Mus musculus: one gene and its partners. The protein of the gene in region 1 interacts with the protein of each later gene in a biochemical or structural test. Links are inferred from orthologs where the notes say so. Each region holds a gene or a part of one and is shown in the gene's direction. Other genes may lie near its edges.

Region 1 (4,675 bases):
ATTGGAATTCAAAACAGATCTGACTTAAGCAGTTTTCTTTTTTAAACAAAGTATATGTTTGACACATTTGCTTTTACTTAGGAAAAAAACCCTTAAGTTAGAAAAAATACAGCTTGGGTGTAGTGCCATGTAGTGTAAATAACTCAACTATTTTGCTATGAATGGGCCAGTATATACTTATTGCTGGAGTTCTTGCTATAAAATTCAGGTAAGGGGTTTAAATATACCCTAGAGTATTATTTAAAAATAAATTTGCTTCTTTCAAATAGAATACCAACCTTGGTCTGTGACATTTGGGAGAGAAATTAAAATATTAAGCCTTTATTGCCGAGTAAGCTGAAAATACAGTAAAGGTTATGTAAACATAAATCAGAAATATATATCTATATATACAGAGAATCACCACCTCTGAAGGACAAGCCGTCTACTGTTCTCTGCTGTGAGAGTTTTATCAGTACTCGTAATTCTACCTCAGAGGCCATGCTAGTGGGCAAAGATGTAAACAAGGGCCTGCCTTGTTTATATTATGAAATATGTGGCCTGGTTTGTATGTCTTGTCTTTATAGGTGTCTAACAGCTGCCTGGGTTGTTTTAAAGCACCAGTAGGGCCCGCAGAGGACTCTCCGAGAACAGGATTGCCATTGAGATATGTTTATTTGATGTGTTAAATCCTTTTTAGGCTTCTTTACTTACCACAACACTCTCTTTAAGTGAATGAATTGCACACAGTGGAATAAAATATCCAATGTGTTCAGACTATATTGGGGTGTAGCTTTTCTGTCTAATCTGCATATGTTTTTAATGGAATGTTTACCCAGGCTATTTCTTGGCAGGATTTTAATAGTCAAAATATAAATGGCATCATTTAAAGACTGTACTACTTGGCTGCATTAAACGTTAAAATTACAGGACAAAATGGTTGGTGACAGCTTCTCCTCAGCCTTTTTTTAAAAATTTCCCCTTGAGGAGGTTATTTGGTGTTTACAACAATGTTACTGGGCTCGTTTTGTAGTTCAGTTTGTCAACTTTCACTTTCATAATTGTGTTTTGCTAAAATATTTACCTTGTTCAATTTGACGGTTAGGCTTTATGCCCCTCACCCCACGTTTTTGTATTTCCAAGTTATTCAGCTGTTTTCATTTACTCATTCCTGAAAAAATATTACAGTCCGCGTAGTCCCTGCATTAAACCTGACTAAATCTCTCAGTATGGCCATATTTTGAAATTCAATCTTTAATTTGATACTCAATCACACAGGTTTTATTTGTACCCATTTCCTGTAATCCTATAGCATTCAGTGAAAATATTAGCGGTGAGGATCACCGGGGGAAGTTGTAGGCACTGAGATTTCGGGAGTTAAATGTTCGTTTTGTAGGGCTGGGGTGAAAAACTAGGTTTCCCAGTTGAAATTGAAGAAGCTTGTTGTTCTTGCGTTACTCATTCATGCAAATTGGCGAAGGTATAATTGAAACAAGGTTGGCTGTGTTTGAGTCAGGGCTGCAGCTGAGCTCAGCTTAAAGGTCGCTGGAAATCAAGTGCTTTGTCAGTGAAGGCGTTCTGACTCCCGGCGATTCTAGACACTTGGGGAACGTCAATCTCGGGCATGGGTCGTCCTTTTCTATGAAATCTGGTATCTGAAGTTAAAGACGCCTCCCCACGAGCTTTTTCAACACCGCCGATGGTTTTTTCCTCTGGATGCAGCACAGCTGCGCTAGCCTGACTACAGACAGAGCTCTTTGTTTTGACTCTCAGCCCTGAACATGCTTGGAAATGAGAACAAATGGCACAGAGTTTACGACTGCACTTTGCCGCCAGAAGAAGCAAGACTTACCCTCTGTCGGAACCCTCTGGAGATGACTTGGATAGCCACGTTGACACACACGGCCAGAGGCGGCCCCGGATCTCAGTGGCTAGTGTGGTTCAAATGAGGCTGACCCCCAGACAGGCGCCACAGGCTCCGTGGGTAGAGCATAGATCCTCTGAAAGTACTGACAAAAAGAGCAGCTGCCTGCAGATCTCACTGCAGCCCAGATACGGAGGGTGTCTTCCATCTGACACTGTCGTGGCTGATAGGGACAGTACTTCCTCTACCTGTGCTTCAAAGGATGATGTTTGCAGCAGCAGTGGAATTGACAGTGAGCTGGACAATGGCAGCCTCAGTAACTTCTCAGCCAGTGACAGTGGGTCTTACAGCAGCAGTGGCAGTGACTGTGGGTCTTGTGCAAGCCTCGCAAGTGGAGGCTCCTCCACCGGCAGTGGTGTCAGCGACAGTAGTGGCTATGAGACCTTTTTCAGTGGAAATTTACCTTCTGACAACGCCTCCAACAGAAGCGTGCCAGTCGACACTACACCCCGTGAAGTTATGTGCGGAAGTCCCAGTAGACTTCCCTTTGCCCAGGAGGACCTGGATCGTGGAGTAGAGATTATGAAACTGCCAGTGAGTAGGAACGCAAAGGGTCCACTGAAGCGCTGCACGTCTTTGGTCATTTTCCCCAGGAGTCCTTCAAACACCCCACCAGCATCCCCGACGAGCAGAGGTGCCTACCAGACCTCACACCAGTTGGTTGTATCACCTACTGAAACTGCACATCATGAAGATGGATCTGGCACCAAAGGCTTTCTGTCAACAGCTGTCAACGGGCTTCGATTATCTAAAATGGTTTGTACTCCTGGAGAAGTCAGAGATGTACGGCCACTCCATGCCAAGGGCTCATTGCAAAAGAAAATTGTCATTTCAAATAATAGGCCCAAACAAACTGTGTGTGAGAAGTTGCCAGAAGGATTTTCCTGTGTTTCCGTGCACTTGACCCAACAAAAACCAACGACATCAGATTGTGCAAACCCCCGTGGTGGCTGCACATCAGAGAGGTTAGAACTTCAGCTGCAGTCTGATTTGGACCATGGCATGCTCAAACAGAGGGCATCCCCTTGCTTGCCAACCGCATCAGACATGGGTTACCATTTAAACATCCGTGGAGAGTTGGAAAGACCAAATTCACCGATAAGCAAAGGCCATGCTGCTTTGCAAAGAAGTGTTTCGCTGGGTGGGACATACCCAAATATTTCCTGCTTATCCAGCCTGAAGCACAATTGTTCAAAGGGGGGACCATCTCAGTTGCTCATTAAGTTTGCATCTGGGAATGATGGTAAAGTTGATAGTTTCTGGAGACAGAGAGACTTGACAAATGAACTGTCTGATGTTTGTAAGGTAAGATTCCTCTGGTCTTGAAAAAATACTTCCTGGAATTCTTAGCTATACTGATTATACTTGATTATAGCACTATCTGTTCCTTTCTGTGGCCCTTAGTGAGGAAGTTTTTAGAAAGCTTCAATTTTATATTTGTAAAGCTCTTTCTTATTTTACCAATGGATAAACTACTTTTAAAACAAACAAACAAAAAAAAAACCAAAAAAACCTTTCCTTGGTGATTTAAATCCTAAAATTCTTCCAGAACTGGCTCGATGTCATAACACTCGATCTTGGGATATTTGTTCTTCTTACCTTCAGAAATGGGATTTTCTTCTCCCTCTTAAAACACATGTATTTGTAAGATCGCTGATCAAAAAGACTATTATATTGAATGTTTCAAGCAGAGGAAAAGTAAGTGGGCTTTGCATTTACATACACCCTAGCCACAGGAATGCTGTTTGCACCCTATTTTTCCTGAGTTCCCAGTGATCGCTGTCTCCCAAAATGTAACTCACTTTTTCAGCAGTATTGATTTCTAAGTTTTATGTGTTTGAATTGGCTTAAACGTACTAGGTAGTTTCTATAATTTTCAATTTACTACACTAGTTTATTGTTCTCACAATGTTGCTTTATTTTATTAGTAATTTAGCTCTAACAGATCTTAGCCAGATTGGCATTTTATGTAATTTGGCCTTTTCAAATTATTTACAATCTTTAAAACTAAAGTAGCCTTTACCATGTCTGTATTTGGAAGGTTTTGCAAAATTCCAGGAAATTTAATTGTTTTTCTGACGACATTAGCTCTAGATTGACAACACATATGCTGGCTGGCGTGCTCTATTTCTTTCTTGTGAAGGGACCTTGCTTCTTTTCATGGCAATGCCTGTATTAAATGTTGGAGGAGTGTGGGGGGAATCCAGATAATGTCTAGACAGATGGAGTTAGAAAATTAGGTAATTGGGCTCTTTTTTCTCTCTTTTGAAATCTGGAAAATATAATCATTGTGTCCACCCAAGGTTAATCTACGCAGCTACTTCACTGGGGATAAGAGAAGATTAGATTTCAAAGTTTGATCTTTGTTTTAGAGTTATTCATTCCACTTGCAAAATTTTTCTAAAACAGTTTTTGGAACATTATAATCGGTTTAATTCTCTTCCCCAAAGTGCTGGGTCCTTAAAGCAGCATTAGTACTCTGCCAATTCAGTCGATGTTACTCACAGAGTCTACATTCAAAGAAACCTAAGAAGTTATGAATCTGAAAAGAATTCTAGAAATAGTCCAGAGACAGTCGTTACTGTGGCAGCACTATCATTTGCCACTGATGCTTTCCAAAGAGGTACTTTAAATACACCCAGTGAAGTATATAAACTCAATGCTGTTTGCATCGCTAAGAATGTTTTCACAGGCCTTTAAATTTTCTAGCAAACTAACAATTACTGCTTTGTAACAACCTAATCCTAGTCTCTTAGTTGTAAAAAAATACAG
Region 2 (4,368 bases), on another chromosome or scaffold:
AGTACAATCGTTACCCAGAGACTGGGAAAGACAGCAGCACTGCCATTTTTTGCTCAATCCAGCAATTGGATCTTGCTAAGACCCTCCTGGGGGAACTAGAGCAACAACAGCTTCTAACGGAAGGTATCACTTAAGTGCCCAGATAGGCAGGGGGGCAAAGAGGGTGTCTGGGAACAGTGACCAGAGCTGGCCGTTTTTTTCTATGAAAAGCCACACGCCTGCTCTGTGTGGCCACTCTTTTTACATGTTGTAAATCCATTTTTTTTTTTTTTTCGAGACAGGGTTTCTCTGTATAGCTCTGGCTGTCCTGGAACTCACTTTGTAGACCAGGCTGGCCTTGAACTCAGAAATCCGCCTGCCTCCCCAGTGCTGGGATTAAAGGTGTGTGCCATTACGCCCCGGCTCATTTTTTTTTTTTCCTAAGTGAAGGCTGAACGGACACTTCGGCAGGGCAGACTTGGCCTTGGTATACCGGCATGCTAGCACTCTTCTAACCAGCTACCCCCCCACCTCTGACTAAAAAATTAATTTTTTCTATTTGGGGCTCTGGGCCACACAACTTGGAACAACCCAGGTAACCTTGCATCGCGGGGCAGACGTCCGGTGTTTCTTACATATCACAGGGCATAGGAATCATCTGAAGGTCTTGTTTGACCGGCAGGTCATGCCTGGGAAGTTTCTTTCCTTTGGGGTTAGTGGAGCGGTAGCTGAGGCTGATCTCGGCTAACTTGTAATCCTGAACCCACGCCCCTCCTTTGCCTTCTTAGGGAATTCCAGGTGCTGCAGATGCTGCTGGCCTCCTGCGTTGTTCAAGAGAAGGGTTGAGTTACTTCTCAGGGGCTGGGAGCCCCTAGTGCCACAGAGGAGATCGGTCCGTTGCGCCGTGAAGGTGCATCTGCCTGCTGAGCTTGCTCAGTTTTGGGTTTATTTAGGCTAGCCGGGGAGAGGGCTGTCCACCGCGGAGGCGGTGCACTCTCAAGCTACCGGTTGGCCTGGAGTTTCAGTTCTAGAAGGCCGGGTCCGGTGGAGGAAGGTGTTAGATCTTAACAGTTAGGAGAAGCCCCTGGAGGAGGCGCAGGTGAACCACATGAGCACGCCCCAGCCGAGGAGCAGAAAGCAGGACAGAATCCTGTTCTTCTAGGGATCTTCACGTAGTTGCTTCGTTCCTGGTTTCCCAGGCAATCCTGAGCAAACGCAGTCCTCCAGTCCCTGCCCATTAAAAATTTCGCCGGCAAGATCGGAGTTTAAAGGCGGCTGCGCCGTAGAGCACTCCCATGGTGCCGCGCGCTGGGCGGGTTTGTATTTTAAATCCCCGCGGCCAATCAGCAACGCGCAGGCCCTTGTAACGTTCCCAGCGCCGCGTTTGAATTCGGGGAGGAGCGGAGCAGAGCAGGACCCTCTGCACCGACTCAGCCAGGTTCGTGGAGCAACTTCGGCATCATGAATGCAGCGGCCAAAGCTGGAAAGCTGGCTCGAGCACCAGCCGACCTCGGGAAAGGTGGGGTTCCGGGAGATGCAGTTCCCGGTGCCCCAGTGGCCGCCCCGCTGGCGAAAGAAATTCCGGAGGTCCTAGTGGACCCACGCAGCCGGCGGCAGTATGTACGGGGGCGCTTTCTGGGTAAAGGAGGCTTCGCCAAATGCTTCGAGATCTCAGACGCAGACACAAAAGAGGTGTTCGCAGGCAAGATCGTGCCTAAGTCTTTGCTGCTCAAGCCCCACCAGAAGGAGAAGATGTCTATGGAGATCTCAATTCACCGCAGCCTAGCACACCAACACGTCGTAGGCTTCCATGACTTTTTTGAGGACAGCGACTTTGTATTTGTAGTTTTGGAGCTCTGTCGCAGGAGGGTGAGTGTTTCAGTCGCAGTGCTGGGGCTCCCACACCTGGAACTTGCTGACAAAGGGGCACCGAGGTTTTGGAGTGACCTAGAGGAGTGGTTGGGTTTCAAACTTTTATGGAAAGGCTTCTAGCGAGGGTACTTGGCACTCCGAACTGCTGAGGCCGGGGTTCTGGGGAAACCGAGACCAGATCCTGTTGCTATTAGGGATGGAGCTCCCAGACGCAAGGCAGCGAGTCGGTACAGGAAATGGATTCATAAAGTGGCTAAGGAAGGGTCCCAGGCTTGGTGTGCCACGCACCTCTAACTTCCGGAGTGGGGCAGGGTCGGGGGAGGGGGCGGCTGTTTGGAGTCAGATTTTAGAGCTTTCAGGAAAGGGAGGGAATCTCCTGCCAGGAGGAAGCCCTGGGTAGGGGAGTCGAGAGTGGGGTTGAGAGAAGACTCAGGAGAGGGTCTGGTGAATGATAGTGACCAACCAGTGTATGGGTAGAACTATCAGAAACCTGCTAAGACTCTCCACTCCGAGCGTCTAGTCCTAGCCACATCCAGCTAGCCACTCTTCTTGGACTTCAGTGACCTCTTTCTCCCTCCTCAGTCCCTCCTGGAGCTGCACAAGAGGAGGAAGGCACTGACCGAGCCTGAGGCCCGCTACTACCTGCGACAGATAGTCCTGGGCTGCCAGTACCTGCACCGCAATCAGGTCATTCACAGGGACCTCAAGCTGGGCAACCTCTTCCTGAACGAGGATCTGGAGGTGAAAATAGGTGAGGTGCTGGGCCTTCGGGTGTCTGGTGTCAGGGCAGGAGGGGACAAGGAGGGGAAGGTGAGGAAATAGAGATGCTGCCCTCTAGTTAGGAAGTGGAAAGTGTGTGTGTGTGTGTGTGTGTGTGTGTGTGTGTTTGTGTGTGTGTGACACTTTCCTTGCCTTTTTTTTAGATGCATTGGTGTTTATGCCTCAACTCAGTAGTTTTGAACTTGGGGCCCCTCCCCCAAATGCTTCTCTATAACCTAGCACTGAGCCAGACCCTCAGCCAATTTCAGGTCTGGACTTACGCTGTAGAGTATGGCAGGCAGCATCTCCTCAGGTGTCTCTTTACTAAGCTGAAAAACCTGCCCCCTTGAGTCTGATTGGCCAGTCCCTAGATCCCTGTCACTTCTCCACACACTTGCCCAGCAGCAGTCACGAAGATCATCTACTTGATTCCCCAGTGCATCTAATTCTGCTATCCTGTGCATTTTAAATTTCATTTACTTATGAATGGAGACAGGCTAACTTCAAGGAGTCAGTTCTTTCTTTCCACTGTGTGGGTCCCAGGATCGACGTAGATCATGTTATCAGTCTTGGCAGCAAGCCCCTTTACCTCCTGAGCCACCTTAACCACCGTAACCCTGCTATCTAAAGAGGTGTGTGGGAGGCTGGCTAGGGCCAGTACAGTGGAAGGGTTCAGGGACTCTGGGGCCTCAAGCCACTAGTTCTCAATGCTCAGGATCAAAACAGAGCTGCCTGCAACCACAGACAGCCCGGGCTTAGCAGCTGAGCACCCTCTCTTCTTTCCTCTGTCCCAGGGGATTTTGGCTTGGCAACCAAAGTGGAATATGAAGGGGAACGAAAGAAGACCTTGTGTGGCACTCCTAACTACATAGCTCCTGAGGTGCTGAGCAAGAAGGGACACAGTTTTGAGGTGGATGTGTGGTCCATTGGGTGCATCATGTAAGTTGGCAATGGCCTTGGCTCCTGGGCCTCAGCAGGGCTTTCTGAGGCTTCTCACCCAGTTGACTTTGCCATGTGAATCTTTCTACCTTATAGAAAGGCTGTTTTAGTGGACAGGCTGTCCCACATGAAACCCTGCTTTTCATATATCAGTCTGGCGTAGGCTGTTGGATTCCTGTAACTTGACTTGTTGGTCCAGGGAAGGGATCAAAAAGTCCCTGAACTTTTCCTCCTGGCCCTTGGTGCTTACTAAAAGTATGCACAGATCCAAACCATCAACACCTGAGAGCTTGTTAGGAATTCAGAATTTCAGATCTGAACCTGGGTTTAATACAATCCCTGCCTGACTTTCCATGGAGCATTGGAAGTCCTGCTGAGTGCTGAAGGGAGAACTAGGCCAGTAGAAAGCCTGGCGATAGGCAGAACCACCACGGTGGCCTGTGGTGGATAGCAGTGGCCTCTGGGGCACTGGGAGAGTCCTCGGTCACTGTAGGCCAGAGCCGTCAATTCCTGGCCCCTTGGTACACAGGTGTTGTCACTTGCATCCTTCTGAGGGCTTGTCCCAGCCTTTGGTTGCTGTGTCACTGGACTGACTTGGAGAGCATCCCCGTCCGTTCCCAGTCAGTAAGTCCAGCACAGCTCCCTTCCTTCCTACGGTCCCCAGACGATGACTTCTGCATTTGGATTTCCCTTGGAGTTTGAACAACAACAACAACAACAAATCCCTTCTTGTACCCCCAGGTATACCTTGCTAGTGGGCAAGCCTCCCTTTGAGACCTCGTGCCTAAAAGAGACCTACCTCCGGATCAAGAAAAATGA
Region 3 (4,628 bases), on another chromosome or scaffold:
AACATGTATAACCCTGTACCAGATCCAAGCGGCTTTTTATCTGCATAACATACAGGATGGAAAAACAGGGAAAGTCGAAAATGAGGAATTCTTGCAAGATTTGGTTGTGAAGTGTGGGAAGAGAATGTCTGTAGACATAGGAAATTGTGTCTAAGGAGGAATCTAGTTTAATTTTGCCTTTGAGGTAGGAGAGGCACGGACGTTTAAAAGTTGACAGGGCAGATCTTTGGTTGGGAGCAGTATGTTCAAATCTGTGGCGATTAGGTAATGAGTAATGTAAGAAGTGTAAGAAGTGGGTGGGAGGCAGGGAGAAGAATCTCCCATCATGATTGGAAAGAATAATTGCCTTTTGTTACGGAGGGGAAGAGAGAAGAGGATGGATACGGTCTTCAGATAGACAAGAGACCCAGTAGGAATCCCTGACAGTGCCAAAGGCCACTGTAAGAGATGACATGTTTTCCATAACTGCTTTCTGTCCTCTCTTCCATTCAAAAGTGTAGCTGCTTGTGAGAGCTGATGGAAGTGTCTTTATTCCTCGTCAGCTGTAATGCAGCCTCCTCCCAGGTAACCTGTGTGCGTAGGTGAAATTAAGACCGTGGGAGAATAACATTTCTTCATTAATTTCAGTTCCACCTCTAGAAGTTTGGTTTGTTTAAAAAAAAAAACAACCCAGGTGGTTTATTATAATATTATTGACACGACCATATGTGCATCTGTGCGTGCGTGCGTGTGTGTGTGTGTGTGTGTGTGTGTGTGTATATGTGTGTGTGTGTGTGTGTGTGTGTGATTTCATCTTCTAAATTTAACAAAGCTTGCTAAGCCTGCATTTTATAAATTTTAAGACAGTCTTATTTACTATGGCACAATAATACTTGAGGGTGGGGCAGAGGTCACATTGATTCCTTTCTCCCCACCTTGGTTAAAAAAAAATTCATATTTTAGTTCAAAGCTGTTCAAGTAAGTCCTTGCTCCGTTTTCCCACCCTGTCTTCAGTGATATTATTTGGAGTCAGCAATCAATGGATTCCATCCCTCTGAGACTTGCTTAACCTACAGCCGCTGATATAATACAGGCAAGAGCTTGTTACTTTATCTGAATTGTCCATCGCTACCTTAATGAGTGAAATGGTTAAGTAGAGGAGGGGGCGAGCCTTAAGGAACGTGTGTACCGTTTGAGCTGAATATTTCAGCGTATATGGGGAGAGGGAGGGAGAGAGAGAAACCCACTTACATCACTAGAACCTCAGCGAGTGTGAGGCTTGCAGGTTAAGAGACAGACTACAGTGTCTTGCTTTCTGCGGGAAGCAGCAATGCCGTTTGTTTCCTAAGAGGGATTTTTTTTTATTTAGAAAAGGAAGCTTTCTCTACCCAGGAAATGGCTTTCCTTGTGCGTTGCTATGCCAACTGCCTGCAGCCATGGTCCTCCAAAGTAAGCACAATAATGTAATTATATTGGTGTATTGCATTCAGACTCATGATTCTTGAGATTGTGTGTGTGTGTGTGTGTGTGTGTGTGTGTGTGCATGTTCCATGTTTCTGTCAGTGACTCCGGCTAGCAGGCATGCTTGTGTTGAGTGTGAGGGACAGACATCATTAAATTAAATGTCCATCAGTGTCATACTGCTGAGATTAATTGTGTAAACTTGGTTAGTGGAGTGGGACAGAGATCACTGGTCACCACTGTCAGCATCATTAGCAGCTAGGGAGGAGGTCCTGATTCACACGCTCTGCCCTGATTTTTTTTTCTCTTCCTCTCTTTTTTTTCCTTGGTTGGAGGGGTCTGTATGTGTGATTGCAAATGAAACAAGAGTGTTAACAATGCTTGGCTGAATGCTAGAGACTAGCTTTTCACCACCCTGGCTAATATAATTCTGTATTAAGCCTTTTGGAGGGGAGTCTGTGTGCAGTCAGCCATTTTAGCTTTTTTTTCCCCCCTTTTCTTTTGCCTCTTGTTCTTCAGCCTCAGAAATGATCTCGTTCTATCAGAAGCCTGAAGGCTGGGTGAGGTTCCCTCAGCCTTGTCAGAGCCTCCGAGGGTTAGAGTTTCAGTGTGATAAAAATGGAGCCGAGCCCTGTCGTTCAGATTCCTTTTCTGTCTACAAGTGTGAAGGGTTTTTAGGCTCACCAGTAGTGACACTTTAAGCTGCAGCCTGGTTTTCCCTCCTCCCTCTTTTTTTTTTTCCTCCCCTCTTTTTCTTTTAATTTCATGCTGTAGAGGGTGACTTGCCGTCGTGAGAGGTTGGTACATGATGTGTAAATTCAGTTCAGCATATGTTTCTTCATTATGAAACCACTGGCCGCGCCTGCTAACCATGGAGTTCTGGGCCAGCAGGAGAAGCAGTCTGTAAGTATCCAGGCGCTGCCGGCATCGTGGGCTGCCTGGCTGGGGGGCAGGCGATGTGGGGAGCAGGCAGGGAGTTCTTTTCCATGGAGCGTTGCTCTTCTCCAGGGGAAGCAGTGTTTTAGAGGGTAGAGAGAGATCCTCTGCTCAGAGGAGGGAGGGAAGGAGGGAGGGAGGGTGAGCTACAGCTCACTCATTCTTCCGATTTTCTGTGATTTCTGAAAATCTTAAGCAAGACCAACAGTTCATTTAAACAGGACCACTAACATTGAGAAATACTAGACAGCTAATTATTATTTTTTTTTGTCATTAGAAAATAATATAGTTTTCAGTAAATGCCCAAGCAGTTTGAGAAACCAGTTTTGGTTGAATTTAGTGAATCATTATAAGAGGTTCTGGCCCATGGGAATCTGGCAAGGAATGCACGTGGAGGTGGGTGGGAGGGTGGGGGCTCTGGCTATTGATTTGGCAATGAAACCATCGGTGGTACACTTCTGACTCCTTAACATTTGTTAATTGGTGGTGAAAGCACACTGTATTGTTTTAGTGCCACAGGAAAGATTACTGCTCCTTTGTAATTGGTCCCATGAGTCAGCTGTGCGATTGTCTTGCTGAAATCCCACAGGCAACAACTGCTATTTGTGAGAAACATATTTCTGTGTCTAACTCCAGGTCAGAGCCTCCTGTTCCGGGAATATGTGCACTCCTGTAGTGCGACTTTTGTGTCACCATGTTACAAGTTTTTTGCCGTTTTGCCAGTTCATGATATTGACATATATATGTGTGCATATGTATGTATGTGAACACATATATGTATATGTATGTGTATGTACATACACACATATATGTTATTCTCCTTATAATGTGCTCAGATTTAGGTGGGTGTATAAGCATTTTAGAACTGTCTCCTTACATATCCTAGACCTGTACATTATGATATAGGAGTTAGTTTTAATTTATTGTAAGAATTGATGCAGTAGTGTTGAACTTTAAAAATACTTATAAACCACTAAAGCCTTGGAAATGAGTAAGTAGGATGCCATGGATTAGAGTATTTGGTTTCGGTTTTGTCATCAGTAAGTGATGAGCTCTTCCGTTGGGTGCAGGGAAGTTCCTTAGATGCAGTGACCCTGAGGAGGTGAATGAGCCTCCCTGGCAAATTCCAGTTCCGTGCCTTGTCCAGCCCTATCCTGGTCGGGTTCTAGGTGTGTTTCCTTGATGAAATCTCTTCAGACCTAATCTAGAAAAGAGCCACCATATGCCTCATTTTCCAAAAGAAAGGTTGTCAAGCAGAACTCGCACTGGAGTCTGATTTTAGTGCAGGTCTTTGGCGCCCAGCTCCATGGAGTTAGTTAGAGCTTCCAAGGAAAGAGTAGAGTGCCTCTTAATCTGCACTCGAGCGAGGCGGCTGCAGAGATTTAGCTCAGAGGCTCAGAGGCTCACCGTGCACCTTTCTCATGTAACCGTTCCCCAAGTGGGAAGGGGTAGCATTTAAATTCCTAATACACGTTTAACAATGAGAATTATTAAAACCATTGATGGGTCAGGGAAGCGACACGTGGATTTTGTGAGATGCTAGAGCTGTTGGAATGGAGAGCACTAAGCGCTGCCCATCGACCAGGAGGCAGTGCTTTGTGCCAGACTTGAGTTTGTTTCCTAATAACTACTTCACATTCTCACCAGACAAATGAAGTGTTAGGATTTGCACCCAGAGCTCAGAGTGCAGGGCATGGGCAGCTTGGGATTCTGCGGTCTGGCTGCTGGCCGTCGTCCAGTTCATTCTGACTGACATGTGTCACTTGGCCGTCGGAAGGGGGAAAACAGCTCAGGTCCTCAGGCAGTGGTGGGTCAGCCCATGGTGATAACTGCAGTGGATAAGCCTTTTTTTTTTCCCTCCTATAATGCTGTATCATAAAAATGTCACAGCTGACTTCAGTTGAGTCACTTCTACCAAATTCAAAAATATTTTAGGTTTTGCTTCTCTGTACAGTCTGGCCCCACCCCCCACGGGACTGTAGAAGGAAGGATGGTACCGAGACAGTGAAAACCTTGTTTGAGGGACTCAGTTACCGTGCTTTGTAAGGGTCTTCCACATCATACAGGTTTTATTCTTTATTTCCTGCCTCACTCGGTGGACATCTCCGTTGCTTGGCCCAAAGTCGATGTATAGTGAACATTCTTAACATTCTCAGTGAATTGGCTTTTGGGCTTAGCGAAATCTTATTTAACCTTTTGAGCTTTTAAACCACTTGAATTTTGTGTATTTCCTCATCCCTAGCCCGTCTCTG
Region 4 (4,345 bases), on another chromosome or scaffold:
ATAAAAAAAAAAAACAAAACAACAACAACAAAAAAACAAACCTGAAGGTTACTCAGAAAACAACACTATTACCATTTTCATCCCAGATCTGTCTCAACTGGTTGTAAAATTTCTTCTGAAAGACTTAATTGTATTTGGGTCAAGGGTAAAATGAGTAGCTGGGTATTAAACTATTTTTAATTTGAAAATAAAAACAACAATAAATAAATACAACAATATTATATACCAATTCATTTGTCTTCATATGTAAGAAAGATTACCAGGAGAAAACCAAGAAGTGGGCTATGTATTTCATGTTCTTGTTTTGCCAGTTAAATTCAGTTCACTTTATTTTGCCCATATTTTATAACCATATCACTAAGTCATGTACATAAAATCAGGCAACAGGGCTGCTTGCCTGGTACCACTTAGTAGTCATTTTATTTTCACAGCACAAAGCATCCTTGAACTTTATCTCCGATGTTCCCAAGATATAGGTCTGGAGTTACTGCCAGTAGAATCAGAAGGGTGACCCCGCATCCAAAGAGTCTTAAGATGGAAACCCGGTATGTCAGAGGGGCCTGGGCTGACTCTCTCTATACTATTGAGGGTCTTCCACCAGCATGCCAGTCAGAGCTTTTGGTGCCCAATAAGGCCTTTTCATCAGGACAACTACCCTACAGGTGATACCCACCCCAGAGCAAAGTATTGTTGGGGAAACATAGACACCTAAATGATTTGACCTCTGTATTTTCAAGAACTCAACAACCATGCTTCTGGGTGAACCTTATAAAATGAATGGATTCATCTCTCCTTGAACGTGAGTGAAGCCTGGTGTTCATCGCTGGCATCGCTTCTTCTAACCTTGATGACTTCATGTTCTTCACCCTTACACTTCTTCAAATCCATGAGTCATGCTCTGTTTATGTTGTCTCAGAACCAATTCTAGCACAGATCCAAACATAAGGACACCAGTCAGAAGGAGGAGTTGGGGCAGAGAAGGCAGGCCAGTCGTGGGTGCCAGGCAAAGGTCAAAATGCAAGCACAGGACATTTCAGCCCGGGCTACAAATCTCGTGACGCCTGGCACTTTTCCAACTCCAGACTCCTGATTCCATTGCTCTGGAAACAGCTGGATTTTCTTCCTCTGTGTTTGTTTTGGGCATCAAACAAGAAACTTGAAGGGGAGGGAAGACGACATTTGTTAGAGCATTCTTTGAATTAACAAATTACCTTTAATATCAATCCTCAAAAATAAAAACCCGACTACATGATTTTTGCGTTTCGATGGAGTGGTTTAGGAAAAGCTTGGGTGAAAAGAAGATACACAAATAAACAAAGCTTCTGTCCACCCGGATCCAGCAGGTCCTTAGCGCCGGGGGCGGAGCGGGGGTGGGGCGTCGTGATGTCACAGCACCGCCCTGGTGTTTTTGTGTTTCCAGCTCTTGGGAAAAGCCACCCTATTTCTTTACCTGGTGGTCCTTTACCTTCAGGCCGCGAGATCTCCAGGTCCTTCTCTGGACGTTTAGCCACGTAGTGCGGCGACTGGCGCGTGGGAGCTGACGCGGGTGGAGCGATTGTGATAAGGCTGACATTGACTGGGGGTGGCCAGACGCGAGACGCAGTCATCAGCGCGCGCAGCAGGCCCCGTCCGGGGAGCCCCTACATCCTGAGGTCCATCATGAAGTTCCAGTATAAGGAGGACCACCCCTTCGAGTATCGGAAAAAGGAAGGTGAAAAGATTAGGAAGAAATACCCGGACCGGGTGCCGGTGAGTGGGGGCGGGGAGGGAGAAGGCAAGCTTGAGGAGTTTGGGAGCTGGTTGCCCTGGAGCTACCGAGGTAGCCTGGCGATGGCGGGTGGCCCTGGCACAGGAGGGTCATCGGAATCAAGTATTCTTGACCGGCTTTGACAAGCTTGTATCCCCAGGGCCTGTAGCCACTTTTGGCATCTCGAAAGCGCAGCGTGCGCGTGGTGGGTGAGTCAGCAGGATTCAGCACCCATGGAGGTTGGGATGTGCGCGTGGCGAGGCCTGTGTGTGCGGGGGCGACTGGTTGGGGGCCGCAGATAGGATATGCTATAGAAAAACGCGTCCCAACCCTGTAGCAGCAGGTGAGATGAGCCTTGTGCCCATCCATGTCTGCTCAATTGGTTCTCCATGAAAACGAGTCTCCTTCCCATTTCCTTGAGCGTAGGAGGAAAAACTCGAGAAGCCCCTAGATTCTGACCTGCGTTTTTTTTTTTTTTTTTTTTTTAGAATTGGGGGTGGGGTGGGGTGAGGGGCTTCACCAGGCGGGCCCTCAAACAAGGTCATGCCTGCCTCCACCTCATTATTGTCTCCTGGGCCATGTGTGGAAAAAGAAGGTCCGTGCTCTGCACTGTGATAGGTGGGTGGGCTCTTGGATCTCAAGAACCAGTACTGAGAACCGTTTCCTCCATTAATTATACCCCGATTTAAGCAGCTAATACCTAGTTCATGCAGTGGGGAGAAAAATACTAAGGGAGTCTTCAGCATCCGGGTGTTTTCCACTTTACCCCCTCCCCCGCCCACTTGCCTTTTTTTTTTTCCTCCTCTTTTGAAGGCTGCGCAGCAGAATTGGAAGCAAAGGATGACATCGCTTTTAAATATGGTGGATAGAGGACCAGGGACTTTAAAAAATCGTTCTCTTTATTTGTACAGGCAATGATGTTATATTAGGTTGGCGTTCCTCTAACTTTGAAGGGTAAAAGAGCTGTGCTAACCTGATAATTTTTTTTTTTGATGCATAAGTAATAGGGGGGAGGGACTTCTTCCTTATTCTTTATCTCAGCCAGGGCTACCAGAAGAAACGGAGGTCCAGCAAGAGAAAGCCCTCAGCCCCATTTTCTACCCTCAGCCCCATTTTCTACCCTCAGCCCCATTTTCTATGAGGAAGAAGAGAGCTAACTATTCCACCATTCTCCAGAAATTACATATACATGGCTCTTCCAGAACGGCTGGGCACACTCCAGTCATGCCTTCCTACTACACAGTCCTTCACATGTTATTTCCTTGAGCTCAGGACTGTGGAGGATTGCTTTCAAAATTTCTCTCAGTTTGTCAGCCCCACTTAATATTTTAAAATTACACATGGACCACACAGCTGGCAGCACTCTGAATGCCTTGTCTGTGTACTCACCGACTCTCGTCACAGCATTAAAATCCCTGTGCTAGAGACATGCTCTGAAGCACAGGGCAGTGAAGTCACCACCCACAGGTTTGACATTGCTGACTGGTGGAGGAGAATTCCAGCCCTGGCTGTCATGCTTCAGGGCTTCCAGAGCCCTTGGGCTTCCAGAGTTTTGTTTTTGTTTTTGTTTTCCAGTTTGTAGTACAGTTAGATGAACGCCTTGTAAGGTTGAGCCCTAGAAGTAGGTTAACACCTGCTGCCATCTGGAGTTCAGGTGGTAGTTGGTGCCAGCCAGGAAACTTAAGTGAACACCTACCCCCATTATTCAGAACTTTAACAGAAATCCGAGCTGTGACCTGCAACTGTTTCCAAATTCAGCTAAAACCTCCGTCCTTCCTCAAGACAGAGCCCCCTCGCATTCAGTTGTGTACAGCACTCACCCACAATATTGCAGTTTCTCTGTATTCTCCTGTTTGTGACTTGATGCTGAATGTTTTACTTCAGTGATGATTTGTAAGCCAAGACACCTTCGCTTAGATCTCATGGATCCCTGGATTTCACACCCAGATGGTACCTCCCAATCTGAGAGGTTCTCAACCTCTCATCTGGTTGTGACATAGAACCCTGCTGAGATTTGTGTGGGGGTGGGAGTGGGGGCAACACTAAAATTGGAACCCTTTGCCTGGTGTCTTCTCCATGACTGGATTATAACAGGAGTTCTCCTGCCTTGGTCACAGGGCCGAATCTTCCTATGTTCAGGTATTTACAGGAAAGCCGCTAAGTTTCTAAGGCAGTCTGACTCACAACTTAAGCTTGGCCTCTTAAGAGGTGTGCGTGGGCCTTGGGAGAAGGGATCATGGGATCTTGAGATAACCGTGTGTTGGAGACCTGTAACAGCAGGAACTGTAGGACATACTATTTTTAAACATTTGTAAACATCCCTATGGTGTATGAGCCACTGCGACAGATGCAGAAAACAAGTCCCCTCTCCTTTTGGTTGGAGTTCCAGGACTCAAGAGTTCCTGTGGTGAATACCAGGGCTCCCTGTTTCCTGTGCTCTGTTTGTAACCTGCCTCTTTCCTTCCTCTTTTTTGGTCTATTTCTTTTCAAGTTCTTTTCTATTTCCCTTGAAGCTTTGGATTCACGTCTGTCTACCCAAGCATTTTCTTGTACTTGTTTGTATGGTATCTGGGGGTGGACAGGTATGTGGCTTGATGA
Region 5 (4,431 bases), on another chromosome or scaffold:
TAGTCTCTGTACAACTCTTTGTAGGAGTCAGGACTTAGCTACTATTTTCCAGAAGTCTCTTTGATCAGTAGTGTTTTCTAACACTCCTGAGCTGGGGTTGGGATATGATCAATGAAAAGTGGTTCGCTGTGTACTTATTCTAGTGTGCATGAGACCCTGAGTTCCATGATCTGACACAAGAAGGGTTGATTTATGGTTTGGTCTCTAGCTAAAAAGATGAATTGCATTAATGCCACTCTTCTTTTGGGGTGAGATAAAGCAGTAATAATAATTAATAATAATAATAAGTGGGAAGACAATGTCTATAAAGTGTTGACAAGCAAGCATAAATGTAGGCATGGTGGGGCTTGTGTGTAAAATCAGTGCTGAGCAGGTAAAGACAGCAGATACCTGGCCAGGTTAGCCCAATAGGTGAGCTCCAGGTCCCTGTGAGAGACTCTGTCTCAAAAAACAAGGAGTACAGCTCCTGGGAAATAATTTCACAAACACACACACACACACACAAGGGGAGGGGGGGCGGATGGACAGGAAAGTAGACCAATATGCAGACAGAGCAGGACTGCTTGAGGGGACCTCTGCAAAGCACAGTCCCTCGAAGCTTTCTGGGCCGCAACCCATCTCTAGTTTCTGCAGAGGGCGTGGGGCTGGTCTTCTGTGGACCACTGCAAAGGCGGAGAAGAGAACTTCCCAGATGTGGCTGATCCAGCTGCAGAGACACTGTGGAAGCCGCGACAGTGAGCGTTGAGTGTTTTGAGAAGCAATATGGGATTCAAAACCATTTTAGATAAGGAATGGATTGACTTTAGTCATCAGAAACCTAAGACTGACCAACGCCGTCAGAAATCCAAGACTGACCTGCAGGTGCCAAGCCAAGAAGTCATGGTTGAAAGGACAAGCAAGATCTGAGATCACAAGAACTGAGAAGGGGCTGGAGGACACCTCAGTGGGTAAACTGCTTGCCGCAAAGCCTGAGGACCTGAGTTCGGATGCCAGAGACCACGTAACGGTTGGGTGTGTGGAAAGCTGTCTTCAATCCCGTTTTTGGGAGGTGGAGACAAAAAGACATAAAGGAAAACCCTGTTTCAAAAAAAAAAAAAGAAAGAAAGAAAGGAAGGAAGGAAGGAAGGAAGGAAGGAAGAAAGAAAGAAAGAAAGAAAGAAAGAAAGAAAGAAAGAAAGAAAGAAAGAAAGAAAGAAAGAAAGAAAGAAAGAAAGAAAGAAAGAAAGAAAGAAAGAAAGAAAGGTGGAGTACAATTGACGAAGACTCCTCACGCCCTCAGGGGCGAGCGGGGAAGAGTCAGAATTATCTGCAAAGGAAGTTAAGATCCGCCGCAGGGTCTGTGCGAGGAGGAGCGAGCCGTGGTTCACAGCAGCTCCTAGGAGCGACAGCTCACCTGCTGTCTGGGTTTTTGCAGATTCGAGACCTTGCTCTGCAGAGCGGCTGCAGGGAGCGGCAGCAGCCTGGTCGCAGCTGTCACCCACGGGTGACCGGACGACGTCCGCGCGGGCGGCAGAGGCCGAGCCTGGGACTACACTTCCCAGTGTGCCAGGCGGGCGGGGCGCGGCGGGGAGGGCGCAGGCTCCTTCCCAGCAAGCGAAGGCGGAAACAAAAGAGTCCGGCGCCGCCGCCCGCACACTCGCGCACCGCGCCCGGGCGCACACGGAGCAGCCCTGCGAGGCGGCAGCCCGGGACACGCGGACACTCCGCAGCCCCCGCCGCCTGCCCCATGGCGCTGAAGCGGATCCAGAAAGTGAGTGGCTGCCAGAACCGGCCTGGGTGTCCCCAAGATGTCCCCAGGAACCCGGGGCGCACGGTGTGGGAGGGGCGCGGACACTGGGGAGGCCGGGGTACGGATCGGCCCGCACAGGTGAGGCGTGCATCCGCAAGGTCTGGGTACTTGGAACCTCGGGGCGACCCGATCCGGTCGTGCCCTTTCCAGGATGAGCCTAGAACCTCGGGTGCGGGTGCCCGTGGGGTGGCCAGATTGTCCCGGGGTGTGTGCATCCCCGCTGGGCCGGGGCTTGCTCTGCAACGGGCGGCCTTCGTCCCCTATCCCGCTGTGCGTCCTCACAATGTCCCCGGAGCCCTCCTTGCTGTGTTCGCACCCCGGGTTCCCCGAGAGGGCAGGGAAGGTGTGGTGGGCCTACGGCCTTTATTCTCAGAGCGTGGGGCTGGGTCTTTCTGGGCTCTGCAGTCGGCTGGTGCTCAGTGGGAGGAAAGGGCTGGGAACGCGAGATTGGGGCCGAGGAGCCAGCAGAGAGCTCTTGCCCCTGCTATTTTGGTGGTTCTGCACGCAGCTGCCACTTCAGGTCACATAGCTGTACTGAGAACATAGTTGCTGATACACAGCAAGATGAGCTCCTGGCTGTGATTCATGGCTAGGTAAGCTAAGCAGGTTGTTGGTTTTGTTTTGTATTTTTTTCTTCACACCCTCACGATAAACTTAGATGTAGAGTTGAAGACACAACACTAAGGACCACAAATTAAATTGTTTGGATGCTTTGATGTGTGAATAGAGAATGAGGAAGACAATCGAAGGGACAGTCAGTCCTTACATAGGATCGGTTCCAACCCTCTCTTTGTATTCTTTACCGCACCCACTTCTCTTGTTGGCCTGTCCCCTATCTCAAGTATCTTTTAACATTTTACAGCGGTAGTCCTTGCTGCTGGGAACGTGGTGTTTGGGATCGCTTTAGAAGCAAATGCGCCAACAGTGGATAATGTGTTTGGTAATTGATTTCACAAGAAATGGTTGGCTCCCCAAACGTTTTATCAACCTTTCCAGCTACACTTGACTGAAAATGTTCTGAGTTAGAGTGGTAGGAAACAGGCATCTTTCGGTACTGAGGACAGCAACTTTTACCCGCAGCCAAATTTTCGTTTGTTTTTTGTTTATTTGTTTTTGTTTTTGTTTTGTTTTTGTTTTTTTTTTTTTTTTTTAATAAACCTTAGCTGTGTAGATCATCGCTGTTCTTTGTGCCGCTGAAGGTCAACTCGGTATAAAATGTTAAGATCAGCGTTTATTAAATAATGACGTTTTCTCGTTTGAAGATAACACGGTGGCACTTTATTTTTAACCATATAAACAAGCTTAATTTTGAAGCTGCAATCGTCATTACCGTGCCGATTTCTGAACGCCGACCAATCTACTGTTGGTTCCCATTTGGAAGTTTTCAAACTTTGCTTCCTTTCATGATGGTGAAGCATTTCCATGTGGCTTTGCACTCCTCTTCTCTCTCTCTGTCTCTCTCTGTCTCTGTCTGTCTGTCTGTCTCTCTCTCTTTCTCTCTCTCTCTCACACACACACAGTAGCTCTTAGATACCAAAGGAGTTATCTATAGTATATATCCATCCAGAGAAATAAGACATTATTTTATGTGTAGGCTTGATGCATCTTGTTGCTCATGCTAAGCCTGTGTATTTGACTTATGTTAATATGGCAAATTTCCACATCTTCTTTCTCTCTTCCTTCCTTCCTTTCTTTTGTTTAGTAGATACTGTGTGTTAAACAGAGTTGTCTAGTATGAAGATAACCTTAAATACAGCTGATGGGGAATCTGTGACAAACTGGTATTTTGGAGAAGACACCAGAGGTCACATGATCCTATAGTCCTGTCATTGACTGCCACAAATCACATCAGTCATACAAGCCAGCCACCCCTTCCCCCCCACCCCCCACCAGCTGATTCTCCCGTTTTCTTCCTTCCTTGCCTGTCATCTTGCTTAGAACCAAGTCTAGGGTGGACAGGCTGCACCGGGGGCAGCTACAGTGCCCTCTGACATCCTGTGTTCAGATTCTCATTTGAATCACGTTCAAATGTTGAGTTCAATGCTCACCTTTGGCCTTAAAAAAAAAAAAGATTTATTTTTAGTGTGCGTATCTGTGAGTACGTGCCACATGTGTGAGGGTGGCCACAGAGGCTAGAAGAAGGAAGAGAGGACAATCAGGTATCCTGATGCCAGAGCCATTGGCGGATGTGATGTGAGCTGTCTAGTGTGAGTGCTGGGAATTGAACTTGGGTCCTCTGGAGGAGTAATAAATGTTCTTCACTGCTGAGCCATTTCTCAAGCCCCTACCCCCCTCCTCCTCTTCTTCCTCCTCCATCTTCTTCTTTTGAGTATCTTTTAAAGCAATCAGAAAACTTCAGGCCATTGGGCAGTGCTATTTCTTTACCTAAAGTATCAGGCCTCAAAGCTCATAGAACTCCAGGTTTGCAGTGGTGTAGCCAAGAGTGCAGGCAAAGAGACAGTCCCTAGGGCAGGGAGCAGAGTCACAGCAGAGCCCAGGGCTGCCAGTGGAAAGATGCTGAACCTCCAGGTTGAGGTGGGGTTAACATGGAAAGGTCAAAAGCCCTGATGTTCTCCTCTGTTCTCTTTATTCAAAGAGGGAACCTGAGGCGGGAGTTGGGACGAGTTTTTCCCAGGCTTAAT
Region 6 (3,913 bases), on another chromosome or scaffold:
ATGTCTTCACATCTTCTCATCTATATGTGCATGGGAGAAGTCTATGTGAGCTTTGTTCACGTGTGTCCTCCAGTAAGGGTCTGAGGACACCCCTGTGTGTTTCTGTACACTTGCCTCTGTGTTGCAGGAGGCATGTGAGAGGCTGCATGTGTGTAAAGGTGAGGGGGGATGCGTGCATGCATGCACATGCGTGACTTGTGAGTCATGTCAGCATGTGGGGGCATGTGCATGAATGGGTGTGTGAAGTGGGTCTGTGTGTGATGATTGGTGCATATGCTCATGTGAGGGAGGGGGGTTGGTTGTGGGCACAGGGTAACTCCACTGAGGTCCTGACCACTGTTGACCCACCCCTCTCCCCTGGTGACCCACCCCTCTCCCCTGGTGACCCACCCCTCTCCCCTGGTGACCCACCCCTCTCCCCTGGTGACTCGCCCCTCTCCCCTCTTCTTGCAGCTACGTGGAAAACCAGCAGCACCTGCAACGCTTGGAGTTTGAGGACCTGCAGGGCCTGGGGGAGTTGAGAAGCCTGTGAGGACCAAGGGTAGACACAGGGTGGGACTGGGCACAGGGTGGTGGGTGCCCACACATATCGGGATCTGGAAATCCGATATGGGAGAGAGTGGGAGAGGTCTGGAAGGCTCAGGGGTTTGAGGGGTCCAGGTAACTTATGGAGAGGGGTGCCCAGCTCCACAGAGGTGTCTGGCCTGGGTGGGCAGAATGCAGAGCTTAAATTCCTCTCATCCCTTCCCTAGAACCATCGTGAAGAGTGGCCTCCGCTTTGTGGCCCCAGATGCCTTCCGTTTCACCCCTCGGCTCAGTCACCTGTGAGTGGCCAGGCTGGATTGGAGGGGGCGGGGCTGAGGAGGACCTCCAGCCTGGGGCAGTGAATGGGCTTTGCGCTCCCCAGGGAACTGTCCTGAGGAAGGTCCAGCCTGGTCTCCCTTCCTTAGGGCATTTCTTTCTGCTTCGGTGTTCTGATTCTCATCCAGTCAGGCTGGAATCTTTGTTGATTCGCTTCTATGATCCATGCCTCAGGGACACTTCTCACAAGTACCCATCCGGGCTCTCTGCCTGGGGTTGGTAGGGTGTGAGGGGCAGGGGCAAGACCACTGGTTCTGATCAGAAGTTCGTCTCCTCTGCTGTGAGGTGCACTGTGGGCTGGTCCATAAGGCCAGTGTGGGAAGTGGTATGTTCTGGTTGCTACTCCTCCCCCTCCCCATTCCTGAGAGTTACAGCTACTTGTTCTCAGAAGACAGAGGGACATGGAGTGGGTAGAAGATGCGCTTAGAGTCCCTGGTAGTCCCTCCCTGGGTTGTCATTCACAGAGTTGGGCTGAGTCCTTTAAACTCTCACTTGGATCCAGGGATTTAACAAGAGTGATGTTGTGTTACACAGTATATGTCCTGACTTTAAAATGTCCACCTAGGGTTGGAGATGTGGCTCAGTTGGTAGAATATTTGCCTACTATCCATGAAGCTCTGGATTTGATCCCCACAGCCACATAAACCAATTTGGTGATACATACCTGTAATATTAGCACTGGGGAGGTGGGGACAGGAGGATCAGACGTTCCATGTCATACTTAGCTACACAGCAAGTTCCAGGCCATCCTTTTGTCTTAACACAACACCACAACAACTTAAAAAGAAATTTAAAATGTGTGCTGGGTGGCAGTTCACGTCTCTCATGGCAGTGACTACTTGAGAGCAACTGGGGAAACAGAGAAAATATGCTCCCCATTTTATAGATGAAAATTCTGGGAATTAGCTGTTTCTTGACTGAGGTCACATGACTCCACATGGCTGGACAGGTGCAGCACTCAACCCCAGGTGGCAGTATTGCAGGTGTCCCAGGACCTGCATCTTTATAAAGTCAAGGCTGGGTAGGCAAGGCGAGTGATTAGGGCATGGTCCCCCAAGGGAGCTGCAGCAGTGTATGGTCGGCACTGAGTTCCTCAAACAGTTTTTCCTAGAGGCATGAAGAGAGCCCTGTCTGGGCTCTCTCTTCATTTTCACCTAGGGAACTATGTCCCTGGGTTTCTGCCTACTGGAAATTCTCTCAGAGGAACAGGAAGGAAGGGCTGGGGGCCTGAGGAAGTACTTTGACATCCCTGTCTTGAGGTTAGGTGGGGGAGGAGGTTGTGAGAGCCTTGGTCCTCCCCTCCTCCTTGGTGGGGAGCACAGATGGAGCCCCTTACCCCAGCTGTGGCCTCAGCACTTCACCAGCTGGGGCTGAGGTGTGGGGGCAGGGCAACCGGCTGTTCCCTTGGATCCCTCTCCCTGGGGTCGGGGAGGGGGTTAACTGGGATTAACCCTTGTTGTCCCAAGGAGAAGTCTGTACTCTGAAAGACTTACCTGCCTACCCCATTCCCACATTCCCACACATCCTCAGGCGTAGCACGATGTTCAAGTTGACTTGCCTGGGGACGGGGTGGATAGAGGTCTCCTTTGGACTTCTGCCTCAGACTGGGTCAGAGTAAGGTCGCTGGCTCAGGGCATCTGTTCTCCTACAGGAATCTGTCCTCCAATGCGTTGGAGTCCCTCTCCTGGAAAACTGTGCAGGGCCTCTCCCTACAGGACCTGTGAGTGTGTGGGCAGGGGCAAGGCAAGGGGCCAGTGTGTGTGATGTGTGGCTGTGCATGATCATGTCCCTGGGGCTATATGCAACTGTGTCTCTGTGGAACAGAGGAGGGGTGGGAGGTGGGGCATCTCTGGAGACTGTGTTGTGTCTGGGAGCTTATACTGGCAATTATGTGCATGCCTGTCAGCCACGCCCCTCCCACCCCCATCCAAGTAGAGCCTGCAGGACTATCCTGGTCTGGTCTGGTCTGAGCAGTCTATATGGATGAGTAGCATGTGTGTGTCCAGAGGTTCAGGGCTGTGTTGAACAGACTCTGGCCATCCTGATGCTTGAGGATAGCAGCCCCATTCCCAGAGCACACACACACTGGAAGGGAGATACATAGAATAGTCCATATGTGTGTGATGGGTACCTAAGGCCTGTGGGCCATGGTGACCTGCCCTTCCTGCCATCATGCTTGTCTGTCTGTGTGTGATGGGTACTTAAGGCCTGTGTGCCATGGCAACCCACCCTTCCTCCAATCATGTTTGTCCACATGTGTGTGATGGGTACCTAAGGCCTGTGTGCCACGGTGACCCACCCTTCCTCCCATCTTGCTTGGCTTCTCGCTCTAGAGCTGGGGTAGAGGAGTCCCATGCGATGCTCAGATGGCATCCACAGCAGTCTGCCCTTACTTAACTAAAGTAACTAAAGTCTTGTTACTGTGTTGGTTATGGGCCTGGTCCAAACCCCACCCTTTTTGCCTAGACCCCTTGGTAGCCAGCCATCTCCAGAACACTGCCTCCTGGCCATTCAGACCTGTCGCACCCTCTTTCCCTGACTCTCAGCACCCCCTACCCAACAGGACCCTGTCAGGGAACCCACTGCATTGTTCCTGTGCCCTGTTCTGGCTCCAGCGTTGGGAGCAGGAAGGGCTGTGTGGTGTGCATACACAGACGCTTCATGACTCTGGGCCTGGAGACCAGTTCCTCCCACTGGGACACAACACCAGTTGTGGTAGGTGTTGTTGTAGAGGGGGAAGCCTGGGGGGACCTGGGGTAGCATTGGCAGGGGCTATGGACCCTGGAGGCTGGGGTCCATAGATTGGGGCTCACGAGCAGGGTGGGGTTCATCAGCCCACACTTAGGTTCTAATGCCCCTCCGTACCCTGGGTGGCAGGTGTACCCACAGTGAAGATCCAGATGCCCAATGACTCTGTGGAAGTGGGCGATGACGTGTTTCTGCAGTGCCAGGTGGAGGGGCTGGCCCTACAGCAGGCTGACTGGATCCTCACAGAGCTGGAAGGGGCAGCCACCGTGAAGGTGAGAAGCCTCACAGCCCCTCCAAGGGGACA
Region 7 (3,913 bases), about 47 Mb from region 1:
CACTAAGAAAGAAGGGGTGGGGTGTGTGTGTGTGTGTGTGTGTGTGTGTGGGCACGCGTGTGTGTCCTTTAACATACCCAGTTCTTCACAGCCTCACGAAACAATGTCCTACTGCCGCAGCAAGTACCGTCACACAGCCCATCATCTGTGTGATGGCTTTGAACCTTACCTGCACCACCAATTAGACTTAGTCCTGGCAGGAACTCCCACCCACAAGGGAGTGATGGGACCAGAGTTAAACGTCTCTTTGGGAGCCAAGGACACTTGATTCCAGAGGGACACACTGATGCCAGGTGCCAGGAATGCCTCTGATGTGGCTGCTGGCTTCAGTGCCAGCCAAGGGCAAACTACACAGAAAGCTCGATGCCCTGGGGAGCACTCGGGAGCACGGTTTCCCACCAATTCCAGGGCTGTGCTGTCTGCTTCAGAACGTCATCCCCCCATCTCAGCAGCGGACCCTCTGTGCCATAACAGAATCCGCCCAGCTTCAGCCCCATCTGTGTGATAGACAGCCAGGCTTGGACCATGCTTGGACCGGAGTTCCCCAGATGTATCTGTCAGGAAGCCACCGTATGGAGGCTCAGGAGCCACAGCCTGCAGACACAGCGCATGGGTTTCCTGGATATACCTCAGGGGAACCATCCTCTCCCTGTCACAGCCACCCTGAAATAAACCAGAAGTTTGGCACAGAGAATTCAGGACGTGCAGGACTGACACAGGGCCTAAAGCCTTCGGTTGTGTCTAAGCCTGCCCTACCCCAATGCGAGGACAATCCTGGCAGCTTTGACTAGCAAGTAGAGACCCCATTTTTATGAAAATTGGGGGCCTGGAAGGGGGAAGGTTGGTGCGTTCTGGAGTTACCTCAGCGTTTAGGGAGAGGATAAAAAAGGCCTCTTGATTTTCTCTGACTCCCTCACTTGATACCAGAGCTCTAGCCTTCATGACTGGAAGATCCTCACCCCACCTGCACCCCCACAGCCACCTGTGGCCACCACGCAGTGGGGTCGAAGTCTTGAAAAGGGCATATGTTCTTGGCAGCCTCAAGAACTAAGTCTCCTTCTGCCCACACACAGGTGGTGGTCAACGCGCTGGTGGGCGCCATCCCCTCCATCATGAATGTCCTCCTCGTCTGCCTCATCTTCTGGCTCATCTTCAGCATCATGGGCGTGAACCTCTTCGCCGGGAAGTTCGGTAGGTGCATCAACCAGACCGAAGGGGACCTGCCTCTGAACTACACCATTGTGAACAACAAGAGCGAGTGTGAGTCCTTCAACGTGACTGGAGAGTTGTACTGGACCAAGGTGAAAGTCAACTTTGACAACGTGGGGGCTGGGTACCTGGCCCTGCTGCAGGTGGTGAGTACGGAAGAACAGGGATCCCTCCCTTCCTCCATTGGTGCTTCAGATATCTGCCCTTCACCCTGGCATGGGCAGGAGCAGGCCAGGTGGTCCCTGCAGTAGGGTAACAGGGCCCAGGGTAGTGGCTCTGTGCCAAGTCCTCAGACTCTCAGTTATAGATTGGACACATCGTCCAGGGTGACTGGCCTGGGGGCAAGGCAGCATGAGATAGGACCAGTTCCCAGCCATCAATTGAGTTGACCTCTTTAGGTGGCACAGGCTAGATACAAAAGACTGCCAACTGCCCAGACACTGAACTGTTGGTGAAATTATAACTGACCACCCTCTGTCATAAAATGTCTCAGGCTGCTTAAAAGACTACATTTGGGATGGGGATATGATTCAGGGGTACAGCACTTGCCTACCACCTGCACGGCCCTGAATCCTCAGACCGCACCTTGACCCCCAAAAGGAGCATGTCTGCTTTCATCTTTGATGTGCCGGTCCTCTTGACTGTCCATTTACTTTATGGGCAGGATGGTTTAGTAGTTATAACACCTGCCGTAAAAATCAACCTACACAGCTCAGTCAGTAAAGGGCTTGCCACACAAACCGAGGATCTGAGTTCAGATCCCAGACACCCACATCATAAGCCAGTTGTAGTGGCACATGCCCCTAAGCACAGCACTAGGGAGGTAACTACAGGACGAGCCCCGGGGTTTGCGGGCCAGCCAGACTAGCCAGACCAGCCAGCTCCAGATTCAGTGAAAGTTTGCTGACAGAGGCCTGGTGAAGCAGCTGCCACCAAGCCTAGGGACCGAGTTCAATCCCTGGTGCCCACACGGTGGGAGGAGAGAGCCAACTCCTGCAAGTTGCCCTCTGACCTCCACATGAATGGTATGGTAAACACACATGTACACACTCAGACACATAAATGTAATAAAATAACGTGAAAAACCATTGAAGAAGATGCCTGATACTGACCTCTGGCCTACACGCACATGCACACGCACACACACACACACACACACACACACACACACACTACTCTTTAGTAACAAAAAAAAAAAATTAAAGAACTCTTAGCCAGGTGGTGTTGGCACCTGCCTTTAATCCCAGCACTCAGGAGGCAGAGGCAGGCAGGATCTCTGAGATCAAGGCCAGCCTGGTCTACAGAGCGAGTTCCAGGACAGCCAGGGCTACACAGAGAAACCCTGTCTGAAGGTTGGGGGAGAACGCTTAGACACAGAATACTAGTGGGACTAGAGAGATGCCTCAGCAGCTGAGAGTGCTTCCTGCTCTTCCAGAACACCGAATTAAGTCCCCAGTACCCATGTCAGACAGCGCCAAGCTACCTTTAGCTCCAACTCCAGGGGACCCAACACCCTCTTCTGGCCTGAGGGTACGGTACCCCTATGTACATGCGCAGACCCCCAACACAGACATACACGTGTGCAAATATAAAAATAAACCTTAAAATAAGAGAGAGGGGGAGCGTAGGCAGAACCAAGCTTGTGGCTCCAGGGGAGGCCTGGGGAAGGGTTAGGTTTTGCTGGGGACCCAGTGGGACTCCCCTGGAAAGTTGGTCTCACCACCACGAATGTCTCCTGAGCTCCTTTTGAATTCTCACAGTGGGCCCCAACTGTACAGACGATGAAGAGCCAATGCCAGAGCCCCCACTCCTTCACGCAGCCTCCTTCCCTCTCGGCCGCAGCCTTGTGAGGTGTGCTAGGTTCTGCTGATGCCGGCTCACTGGACTTGAGGGTCACATTTGCAGACATGATACAAGCTGGTTGTTGAACACAACCTTTACGAGAAAACCAAACTTTATGACTAAGTGATGCTAAAACACATGAGCCTGGCGTGCTTTTTTACCGCCCGGGGGGCTGCCGTCTGTGCTGTGTGCGCGTTAACACTGTGGGTCTTGCCTCTCTTCCCATCGGTCACAGCACGGCGCTGGGAACATTTACATCAGAGAAATCGGCAAATACAGTAGGGATTTTTCTTTTCCTTCCGGAGAGCGAGTTGTTAGTCCCTCACCGGAACAGTGGTAGAAAGGATCTGTCATTACAGGCAAGATGCTGGTCCTCTGAGCGGCAGGACACAGACCAGCCTTGGGGTCTAGAGTCTGAAATGTATGTTTTTGAGCAGTGAACCATCTCCTAGCCTTACCAGACAAGAGGCCTCAACTGAGAAGGCTAACATGGCCTTCATGGTGTTTCTCCTCCATCCCCAGCCCCTACCTGAGGCCTTCCCCTAGGCCACCCAGCCTTTTGAGCACTACTGAACAGGTGGGCTGGGGCCTGCTTGCTTCTTGTAGGAGGCTGATCCTGGCCTAATTGAGATGGGAGTTCTTTGTAGCTGAAGCAGATCACCAAATCTGATGACCTTCATGGTCTCTTCCTCACAGGCGACATTTAAAGGCTGGATGGACATCATGTATGCGGCTGTGGACTCCAGAGGGGTAGGTTGCCACCAGCTGTGTGGGAGAAGCCAGGCAGGGCGGTCACCCAGGTGGGAGGGATGGGGCCACAGTGGGGTTGGTGTGTGTGTGGGGGGGGTGGTGGCTGTAGTGA

The links.
Region 2: the proteins of Nedd4 (region 1) and Plk1 form a complex in vitro, tested with the Homo sapiens proteins (2 studies listed by BioGRID, with this or other methods). The link is inferred for Mus musculus from reciprocal best matches to the Homo sapiens genes NEDD4 and PLK1.
Region 3: the proteins of Nedd4 (region 1) and Rapgef2 form a complex in vitro, tested with the Homo sapiens proteins (2 studies listed by BioGRID and IntAct). The link is inferred for Mus musculus from reciprocal best matches to the Homo sapiens genes NEDD4 and RAPGEF2.
Region 4: the proteins of Nedd4 (region 1) and Gabarapl1 form a complex in vitro, tested with the Homo sapiens proteins (2 studies listed by BioGRID and IntAct). The link is inferred for Mus musculus from reciprocal best matches to the Homo sapiens genes NEDD4 and GABARAPL1.
Region 5: the proteins of Nedd4 (region 1) and Ube2d1 form a complex in vitro, tested with the Homo sapiens proteins (14 studies listed by BioGRID). The link is inferred for Mus musculus from reciprocal best matches to the Homo sapiens genes NEDD4 and UBE2D1.
Region 6: of the proteins of Nedd4 (region 1) and Ntrk1, one has a biochemical effect on the other in vitro, tested with the Homo sapiens proteins (3 studies listed by BioGRID, with this or other methods). The link is inferred for Mus musculus from reciprocal best matches to the Homo sapiens genes NEDD4 and NTRK1.
Region 7: the proteins of Nedd4 (region 1) and Scn5a form a complex in vitro, tested with the Homo sapiens proteins (3 studies listed by BioGRID, with this or other methods). The link is inferred for Mus musculus from reciprocal best matches to the Homo sapiens genes NEDD4 and SCN5A.

Annotation. Positions count from the first base shown.
Region 1 is NC_000075.6:72,691,659-72,696,333, forward strand, and holds the start of Nedd4 (E3 ubiquitin-protein ligase NEDD4), read left to right. Parts: upstream 1-1,639; 5' UTR 1,640-1,780; coding exon 1,781-3,208; intron 3,209-4,675. UniProt on the Homo sapiens protein: E3 ubiquitin-protein ligase which accepts ubiquitin from an E2 ubiquitin-conjugating enzyme in the form of a thioester and then directly transfers the ubiquitin to targeted substrates. Specifically ubiquitinates 'Lys-63' in target proteins.
Region 2 is NC_000073.6:122,158,103-122,162,470, forward strand, and holds the start of Plk1 (serine/threonine-protein kinase PLK1), read left to right. Parts: upstream 1-1,332; 5' UTR 1,333-1,440; coding exon 1,441-1,848; intron 1,849-2,433; coding exon 2,434-2,602; intron 2,603-3,404; coding exon 3,405-3,549; intron 3,550-4,290; coding exon 4,291-4,368. UniProt on the Homo sapiens protein: Serine/threonine-protein kinase that performs several important functions throughout M phase of the cell cycle, including the regulation of centrosome maturation and spindle assembly, the removal of cohesins from chromosome arms, the inactivation of anaphase-promoting complex/cyclosome (APC/C) inhibitors, and the regulation of mitotic exit and cytokinesis.
Region 3 is NC_000069.6:79,142,571-79,147,198, reverse strand, and holds the start of Rapgef2 (rap guanine nucleotide exchange factor 2), read left to right. Parts: upstream 1-1,452; 5' UTR 1,453-2,283; coding exon 2,284-2,343; intron 2,344-2,389; exon of another isoform or gene 2,390-4,628. UniProt on the Homo sapiens protein: Functions as a guanine nucleotide exchange factor (GEF), which activates Rap and Ras family of small GTPases by exchanging bound GDP for free GTP in a cAMP-dependent manner.
Region 4 is NC_000072.6:129,531,788-129,536,132, forward strand, and holds the start of Gabarapl1 (gamma-aminobutyric acid receptor-associated protein-like 1), read left to right. Parts: upstream 1-1,404; 5' UTR 1,405-1,659; coding exon 1,660-1,749; intron 1,750-4,345. UniProt on the Homo sapiens protein: Ubiquitin-like modifier that increases cell-surface expression of kappa-type opioid receptor through facilitating anterograde intracellular trafficking of the receptor. Involved in formation of autophagosomal vacuoles.
Region 5 is NC_000076.6:71,282,420-71,286,850, reverse strand, and holds the start of Ube2d1 (ubiquitin-conjugating enzyme E2 D1), read left to right. Parts: upstream 1-1,588; 5' UTR 1,589-1,726; coding exon 1,727-1,750; intron 1,751-4,431.
Region 6 is NC_000069.6:87,788,285-87,792,197, reverse strand, and holds part of Ntrk1 (high affinity nerve growth factor receptor precursor), read left to right. Parts: intron 1-453; coding exon 454-528; intron 529-752; coding exon 753-824; intron 825-2,512; coding exon 2,513-2,581; intron 2,582-3,424; coding exon 3,425-3,576; intron 3,577-3,738; coding exon 3,739-3,881; intron 3,882-3,913. UniProt on the Homo sapiens protein: Receptor tyrosine kinase involved in the development and the maturation of the central and peripheral nervous systems through regulation of proliferation, differentiation and survival of sympathetic and nervous neurons.
Region 7 is NC_000075.6:119,492,949-119,496,861, reverse strand, and holds part of Scn5a (sodium channel protein type 5 subunit alpha), read left to right. Parts: intron 1-1,073; coding exon 1,074-1,355; intron 1,356-3,747; coding exon 3,748-3,801; intron 3,802-3,913. UniProt on the Homo sapiens protein: Pore-forming subunit of Nav1.5, a voltage-gated sodium (Nav) channel that directly mediates the depolarizing phase of action potentials in excitable membranes.